2 linked regions of the Macaca mulatta genome follow. The protein of the gene in region 2 purifies or fractionates together with the protein of the main gene of each other region. This does not show direct contact. Links are inferred from orthologs where the notes say so. Each region holds a gene or a part of one and is shown on either strand. Other genes may lie near its edges.

Region 1 (4,362 bases), on a different chromosome or scaffold from region 2:
TCTTTGCCCTGAAGGAGAAAGATCTCTACTGGAAATGGCAGATGACAGAAAACTAAGCCATTTGCTGGCCAGGCATGGTGGCTCACACTTATAATCCCAGCACTTTGGGAGGCCAAGGTGGGCGGTTTACCTGAGGTCAGGGGTTCAATCTGGCCAACATGGCGAAAACCCATCTCTACTAAAAATACAAAAATTAGCTGGGTATGGTGGTGTGTGCCTGTAGTCCCAGGTACTTGAGAGGCTGGAGCACAAGAATTACTTGAGCCTGGGAGACGGAGGTTGCAGTGAGCAGAGATCGTGCAATTGTACTCCAGCCTGGGCTACAGAGCAAAACTGTTTCAAAACAACAACAACAAATAAGAAAACAGAAAACTAAGCTGTTTGGTTTACCAAGCCTATATAAATTGCCTCTCATTTATTATAGAGGTAACAAAAGACCCAATAACTGGGAGAAAAGGCAAGTGTTGAAATAACAACCAAATCACTCAATATTTAATTTGCTTTTATGGCAGAAAAACAGCTAATACCTGCACTTTATGATTCAATCACTGGCCAGAGAGGGAACTCCAGGACTTGAAGGACCAAGTCCTTTTAGGCTCTGGGGGCACATTCCTCTCTGTAGTGTATTCTTCTTTAAAAATTTTTACAATCCTTTAAAATTGTAAAAACCATTCTCACTTCATGGGCCTTAAAAAACTGGCAGAGTCTGGGCGCGGTGGCTCACGCCTGCAATCCCAGCACTTTGGGAGGCCGAGGCAGGCAGATCACAAGGTCAGGAGTTCGAGACCAGCCTGGCCAACATGGTGAAACCCGTCTCCACTAAAAATACAAAAATTAGCTGGGTGTAGTGGTGCGTGCCTGTGATCTCAGCTACTCAGGAGGCTGAGGCAGGAGAACTGCTTGAACCGGGACCCAGGAGGCGGAGGCTGCAGTGAGCCAAGATCACGCCATTGCACTCCAGCCTGGGCAACAAGAGTGAAACTGTCTCCAAAAAAACAAAACAGGCCGGGCGCGGTGGCTCACGCCTGTAATCCCAGCACTTTGGGAGGCTGAGGCAAGCGGATCACGAGGTCAGGAGATCGAGACCATCCTGGTGAACACTGTCTCTACTAAAAATACAAAAAAATTAGCCGGGCGTGGTGGTGGGCGCCTGTAGTCATAGCTACTCGGGAGGCTGAGGCAGGAGAATGGCATGAATCCGGGGGGTGGAGCTTGCACTGAGCAGAGATCGCACCACTGCACTCCAGCCTGGGCGACAGAGCGAGACTCCATCTCAAAAAACAAACAGAAAACCAAAAAACAAAACAAACAAACAAACAAACAAAAATGGCAGAGGACCAATCCCGCTGACCAGTTTGCAGACCCTGGTGCAGTGTAAACAACCTTGATGTCATGAGACTTGCAGTCTAGGACATTGTATTTCTTCCTCTCTTTGGGCCAGTCACCTCATCCATGAAATAAAAGGCAGAGAAAGAGGCTATCTCCCAGATTTTAATTTTTCTCAATGATAAGTTATGGATCTCTAAGGTCCTAGGAGACAAACACGTCCTCTGCTTAATCAAGTCTTATACTCCCATACATTTAATGGCAAACACTAAATGCCAGTTATAATTTCTGTTTTGTACAAGAGAATCCAAAGTTCAAGAGAAAGGAAAACCCGGAAGATAGCTTAGGAACCAAGATAAGAATGGAAGACTGCTCTAAGCCAGGGGCTGGGGAAACCTCCCCGCCTCCATTCTTACTCTTCTCCAACCCACTTCTCTCCCAGCAGCCGAATGAATCTTTCTAGAAGCTGAGAGTAACCACTCCCTGACTTAACACCTGGAAATACAGGGCTCTCAGGGCTCACTCCTTCAGGATAAGCCCCTGCCTTGACAACTTCATGGGTCCTGGTCTCCCCTTATCCCCACCCCAGCGCTCTCTACTCTGTTGTCTGAACCAGCCACCCCCAAGTTCCAACAGTTCTCAGAGTCAAACCTTTCTTGGGCACTTCCTAGGTACAAGCGATTGAGAGGAGCAAATGAATGACTATCTGTACTGTTGCCCAAATACACTGCACACCAGAACTCCCCTCTCTTTCCCTCTTAGAGACGTTAGGACTGAAAGGAAAGGATACAACCCCTTTCTATAACCATAGAAGAGGCTGCAGGGAGGCTGAAGTGACTTGTCCAGGTTCACAGTTGAATTAGAACCAGGCTCCACACCACTGATTTGAAACCCTGGAGTCCTGATAGGGCTGTCAATCTGAAAGGGACATCAGTGGCCTAACTCAGCCCTCTCGGTGCACAGGTGTAGATACCCAGGGCTTCTCAGTCCGCCATCTCCCGAAACTTCATTTATCAGTCCCCAGCCAGACGCACCTCCTCCTCCTCATCAGGTGTGTCACGCTCACTCTTGCGGCCGCAGGAGGCCACACGCGGGTCCCGGGGTCATGGGGGCTACCGGCAGCTGCGCGCCCCGGCTGGCCGCCCACCCCACCTCCTGTCTGCCACCCGAGCGGGGAAGGGGCGCCGCCCCCAGGGACCACACTCACTTGGCGCCCGCGGCCTGGAAGAGGTCGGCCCACTCCTCCGGGTGGAAGAAGCGCGCGGTAAACTGCGGCCCGAAGTCGGCGTAGCTGAAGCCGGGCGGGTAGTTGTCGCGCATGAAGCGCTGGTACTGCGGCCGCCCCTCGCCCTGCCAGTTCCACCAGAACCACTCGCTGCCCCAGGCGGGCACCGAGAACACGCCCCAGTGGATGAACACCCCGAACTTGGCTTCGTCGAACCAGGACGGCAGCGGCCTAGAATCCAGGCTCGGCCAGTCCGGGGTGTAGCGGCGCAGAGGCTGGGCCCGACGCACCGACTCGGTCGCTCCGAGGAGGAGGAGCAGCAGCAGCCACAGCGCGGCACCCGCCGGCCGCCACCTCTCCCCCGGAGCCCGCATTGCTGCCCGGAGGCGACGCGGCCCACTCTTAATGCGCAGGTGCTGGCGCACGGCTCCGCCCACTCTGACTAACGATTGGCCCGGAAGGAAAAAGGGGTGGGACAACCCGGATAGGTTGGCCCCAGTCGCTTCCTCTTCGGGTTGGCGGAGAGCCCTCTGGTACTCTAATCCGGAAAGACGTAGGGAGGCGTTGACAGCGCTTCGCTGAAGGACGAATAAAAACCTTGAAAAGGGACTTAACTGCGAGGTTAAATCGTGGAGGTGAGCAACGCCCAGTGTGTTCGGAGAACTCACATTTAAGAAGTCCATTGAGCCAGGCGCAGTGGCTCACGCCTGTAATCCTAACACTCTGAGCCCACAAGTTGGAGACTAGCCTGTCGCTACAAAAAATAAACAAATTGAGCCTGGCGTGGTGGTGCACCTCTGGAGTCCCAGCTACTCAAGAGGCTGAGGTGGGAGGTTCGGGATCGCTTGAGCCCGGGAAGTTTGGGCTGCAGTGAACCGAACCGTGATCACGCCTCTGGGAGTAATCCATTTTGCTGCAGCAATCCTGCAGGGGTAGGCTGAAGTCAGATCACAAGTTTTTTTTAGTGATCACTTGGGAGCCATAGGGGGCTGGAGGAGGAGATACCAGACTGGAAGGGTATCTAACAGCCCTGACAGAAATAAGGAGGTAGACGGATGATGGGAGGAAACATTATGAGGGGAGAGGAGGGAGAAAAGTAGGTACTGAAAGAGGGGGAGTGGGCAGGACCGTTTCATCTGTCTAGTATTTACTGAGCTTTCTTTGGGAATTCTGAGGCATTTCAAATAGCTTAGCTTCTACCGACATCACGCCACTGCACTCCAGCCCGTGGGCGACAGAGCGAGACTCCGTCTCAAAAAAAAAAAAAAAAAGAAAAAGAAAAGAAAAGAAGAAAGAAAGAAAAGAAAAAGAAAGTGGAGAGCCAAGGGGACCCAGGCCAAAGGATTGCCTGGCAGGGAAGTTCCCCAGTTCCTCTGCAATTTGTACGTGCTGCACATACTCAAACGGGAGGTGAGGCTATTAGCGAGGGAAATACAGAAGTCAGAAGTCTCTGACCGGACAAGGTGGCTCACGCCTGTAATCCCAGCACTTTGGGAGGCCGAGGTGGGCAGATCACCTGAGGTCGGGAGTTTGAGACCAGCCTGGCCAACGTGGTGAAACCCCATCTGTACTAAAAATACAAAATTAGCCGGGCGTGGGGTGCGCCTGTAATCCCAGCTACTCAGGAGGCTGAGGCAGGAGAATAGCTTGAACTCCGGAGGTGGAGGTGACAGTGAGCCAAGATCGCACCACTGCACTCCAGCCTGGGCGATAGAGCGAGACTCCGTCTCAAAAAAATAAATAAATAAATAAAATAAAAGAAGAAGAAGTCTCATGACCCCACGTAGCACTCTCAGTTCCCACATGCCAGT
Region 2 (3,801 bases):
TTTCAGGTTCATTCAGGTTCCTCAAAAAACAGAGCGAGGGAGAGTTTAGTGCTGGGATCTCTCGCTCCTTCCGCCGCCACAGACCCAGATGAGAGTGGGTCTGGGGAGGTGCCACCAGTGGGTGGGCAGGACCCAAGCCCAGGGCCCTCTGCCCATCACCTGGCAAGCCAACAGGGCTCTGCAGCACCTCACACTGGCGGCTCAACCATTCCTTTCCAGCAGGGAGCCCAGCACATGGGGCCTGTCCCTCCCCACACTCCCAGATCTGTGCCGGGGAGAAGGAGCCTCCGCTCTGGGGGAGGAGGGGGAGTGGCTGTGCACGCACTTCACTGAGCACACCGAGCACACAGCCGGGCACGAGGCTGCTCCCCCACAGCCAGGGCTCACGCGCTGTTCTGGGGGTTGCGGGTGTGAGTAAGTTTTTGGAGCCACACGCTAGGGTCTCAGGACTGCAGTCCTTTTGGAGGAAAGGGGCTGCAATGCTTTGGGTCTCTGTAGGAGGAGGGGCTGTGGCTACGCAAGGGTCTCTGTCAGAAGGCTCAAAGTGCCAAGGCCTGGGTCTGCATGGTAGGCACCTGGGGATGGGTGCCTGCTGCTGAGTGGAAAAGGCCGCCTCCTCCGACCTTTCCCAACTCCCCTACCTGCTGGCCTGCCAGGCCATCTGCTCATACACAGGGAGGACGAGGGCGGGGCGGGGCAGACACCTTGGGTGGGTGGGTGGGGAAGAGGTCTGGCCCCGCTGAGCGGCTTCTCCAGCTCCTGGCTGGAAGATGGGTGTCTGGAGCTAGGAAATTGGGGATTGCAGAGGGAGGATGTGAGAGGAAGGAGAAAGAGCAGCAGCACATAGAAATAAACAGGAAGACACAACCAACACAGGGGTGCACACAAGCGCACTGCGAGCAGGGAGCCCGGCTGTGCGAGGAAGGCACCCGCCCCGCTCTCTCCAGATGCCTTGTGGGGCAGCCCCCTGCTGGGGCCCCTTGAGGCAGCAGCCAGCCAGGCAGTCAAGCGCTGGGTGAGAGGAGGAGGGGATGGGGAAAGCCTGAAGACCCTGTCTGGACGTTCCTCCATCAGCTGTGGCACCAATGTGCCTGCCAGGCATCCCAGTTCCAGTGCAGGGCCTGAGCAGACAGCCCTGGGGAACAAGCACTCTTAACCTGGCCCTTGGTCTTCAGCTTGGTATTTGGCCCCCGAGGCCTGCAGAGAGGATGAGCCTAAGGCCAGGGGTGAAACAGCCAGGAAGGGGCCCATGAAGGGAGACCCCTGGGTAAGGGTGCAGAGATCTGTTGTTTTGCTAGGGCTTGGGGTAGAACGGCCCTTGCCCTGGAATGTCCCAGCTCCCGGCACTTTGGAAGGGACAGGCCATATCTGGAGAAAACAGCCCGGAGGAGAAGAGGCTTGATTTATCCAGATGCTGCTGGTGGCAGGGGTGTTGGGGCAGGGGTGCGGGTGGGTGGGGCTAGTCCTGCAGGAGCTGCCAGGAGGGGGTGCTGTGCTCCATTTGTGAGACAAAAGCTCCTAAGGTCTGGAGGATCTAGACTGAAACCTTGGGGCCCCAGGGTCCCTGTAGTGTCTCCAAAGTCCTGCCATCCCATAGGCCAAGGGGAAGAGGTCACACAGCTCTGAAGTTCAGGAAGCCCAGGAGACAGACAAGATACCATCCCAGATGCACTTGTAACCCTGGAGCTTCCTCACAGCGCATGCACATGACAGGGGAAAGGGCCAGGAAAGGATCCCAACACTGACCAAAACCTGGAGTGAGGGGGAGTGGGGATGGGGTGGGGTGGGTGAGAGGAGACAATCTTAAAGGGAGGCTTCCCTGAGACAGTCTCCCCTTACTTGAGGACAGGCGTAACTGTGGGCCCAAGGAAGGCCCCTCATTTTTAAAGCCATTTGCCCTGAGTGGGCCAATGTGGCCTCTTAGCCCTGCCTGTTCGTACTGGGGGCACTGAAGGCAGGCCCTGTGCCGTTGCCCAATCAGAGGCAGTCTTCATCCCTTTAAGATGGCAGAGAAAGGAGGGCCACACAGACTTGGTTAAGCAGATGGAGGAGAGTAAGAGCCAGAAAAGGGGAGTTAGTGATGGAGGCAGGACACAGGACACGGACACACACACACACACACACACAGCGGGCTCAACGCCTACCTTCTGGCAAACCTGAAAGACAGATTTCTAAAAAAACAAACAAAAAAAAGACAAAATAAAAAAAGAAATAAAAAAAAACCAACAAGACGGTATGTGGATAAGCAGGTGGGGAGTGGCTTCACAGGTTCAAGGGTCATCCCATTTTCGGAAGAGCCGCTCAGCGAGACTAGAGTCCCAGGCTTTCAGACCTGCCCACCCTCTCTGCAGGCCTCACACCTGCATTTTGGGGTTCAGATGGGGCAGTGGCTTTGGCTCCTCCAGCAGAGTGGAGTGAAACGTAGAGGAAGGGCAGGCGAGCCTGCTCTCTCAAAGCCCCTGCTGCTTCCTGAGCTGCTACTCCAAGGCAGGGAGAGGAATGGGCATGACAGGGACGCGGAGCATCCCAGGAGGCCAGCCAGTTGGCTGGATGCACTTCAAGCTGCCCCTCTGTGGTGGCTGGGGGCTCAGGTGTGAGAAACCCCATGAAGAGATCCCCACCCTGGGTCCAACACAGGAAAGCTTTGGCACAACCTCTGGTTAGGCCACTGTGGGCCCTCGCCAGTGATTTCATTTATAGGTTTCACCGTAAGAACCCCCGGGCGGAAGGGCATGGCTGTGGCTGCAGCCACAAACAGAACCAGCTAAGGGGAGAGGCAGTCAAAGGGACAAGAGACCAGGACAAAATTTTCCTTGCTGGCCCCAGCCTGGCTCATGCCTCATGACTTTGCAGCTGCGTCACCAAATATAAGTTTCCATGGGAACCCAGGAGAGAAGGGGGGGCTTTTATTTTAGCATCTGAGTTCACACTCTCCTAGAGAGGAGGCGGCATCGGCCATCTGCTTGGGGCCAGAGAATGAGGGGTGCCTGTAAGGAGTTGGGGAGAGGCCTCAGAGGGGTGGGCCTGGGCATACAAGGTGTTGACAAAGACCCAATTTCTTGTGCTTCCCCAAGCCTCTTCTAACCCCAAGACCCAATACCAGTACAGAGTGTCCCAAATCCCAACCCCCAACCCCTAACCCACTCCCAGTCAGGTAGGAAGGCCTGGCCTAAGCCTCTCTGCCACCCAAAGCTCCTTGCTTACCTGCGTACAAACTTGGAGGTGAACTTGCTGAAGATGCTCCCAGAGGCCCCCCGCCGGCCCTGGCTGTGGCCAGAGGGAGAGGCTGGGGTCACACCATAGGGCAAATTCTGCTGGTCCCGCACCTGTCGGAGCTGCCCAGCATGGAAGGTGCTTCGGCTGGACACACCCCGGGGGAAATTAGTTCGGTCTGGGGCTCCACCACTGCTGCTGATGTTGTGGGCGGATGGGGAGGCGACAGGGACACGTTGGGGGGCTGTGCTGTGAGAAGAGAAGTGGGGTTGAGGGGGATGAATTAGGGTACAGGACAGCCATCATCACTGGGCACCTGGACACCCTGTGGTGGGGACAGGGAGGGGGATGCTAGGGCAGAGGCAGCCATCACGAGGACACAGAAGGAAGGGTGTGACTATTGAGGACAGTGGTGAGAAGGAAGTCTTGTGGAAGTGGAAGGAGATGGTTTGGGAAGGGAGGGAGGGAGGCAAGGAAGGACCCGTGTGTGGAGTGTGGTTTAGGCTGGACAGAGCGGCCTCCCTGGGAGCCGGGCAGACTGGACCCTCAAGCGGGCAATGGGGACCAACCCTCGAGGATTGAGTCCCT

The links.
Region 1: the proteins of MARK2 (region 2) and FUCA1 purify together in Homo sapiens (affinity purification with mass spectrometry; 3 studies listed by BioGRID and IntAct, counting the BioPlex papers as one, with this or other methods). This does not show direct contact. The link is inferred for Macaca mulatta from reciprocal best matches to the Homo sapiens genes MARK2 and FUCA1.

What each region holds. Positions count from the first base shown.
Region 1 is NC_133406.1:217,121,980-217,126,341, reverse strand, and holds the start of FUCA1 (tissue alpha-L-fucosidase), read right to left. Parts: upstream 2,966-4,362; 5' UTR 2,926-2,965; coding exon 2,534-2,925; intron 1-2,533. UniProt on the Homo sapiens protein: Alpha-L-fucosidase is responsible for hydrolyzing the alpha-1,6-linked fucose joined to the reducing-end N-acetylglucosamine of the carbohydrate moieties of glycoproteins.
Region 2 is NC_133419.1:10,508,046-10,511,846, forward strand, and holds part of MARK2 (serine/threonine-protein kinase MARK2), read right to left. Parts: intron 3,463-3,801; coding exon 3,205-3,462; intron 2,172-3,204; coding exon 2,145-2,171; intron 21-2,144; coding exon 1-20. UniProt on the Homo sapiens protein: Serine/threonine-protein kinase. Involved in cell polarity and microtubule dynamics regulation. Phosphorylates CRTC2/TORC2, DCX, HDAC7, KIF13B, MAP2, MAP4 and RAB11FIP2. Phosphorylates the microtubule-associated protein MAPT/TAU.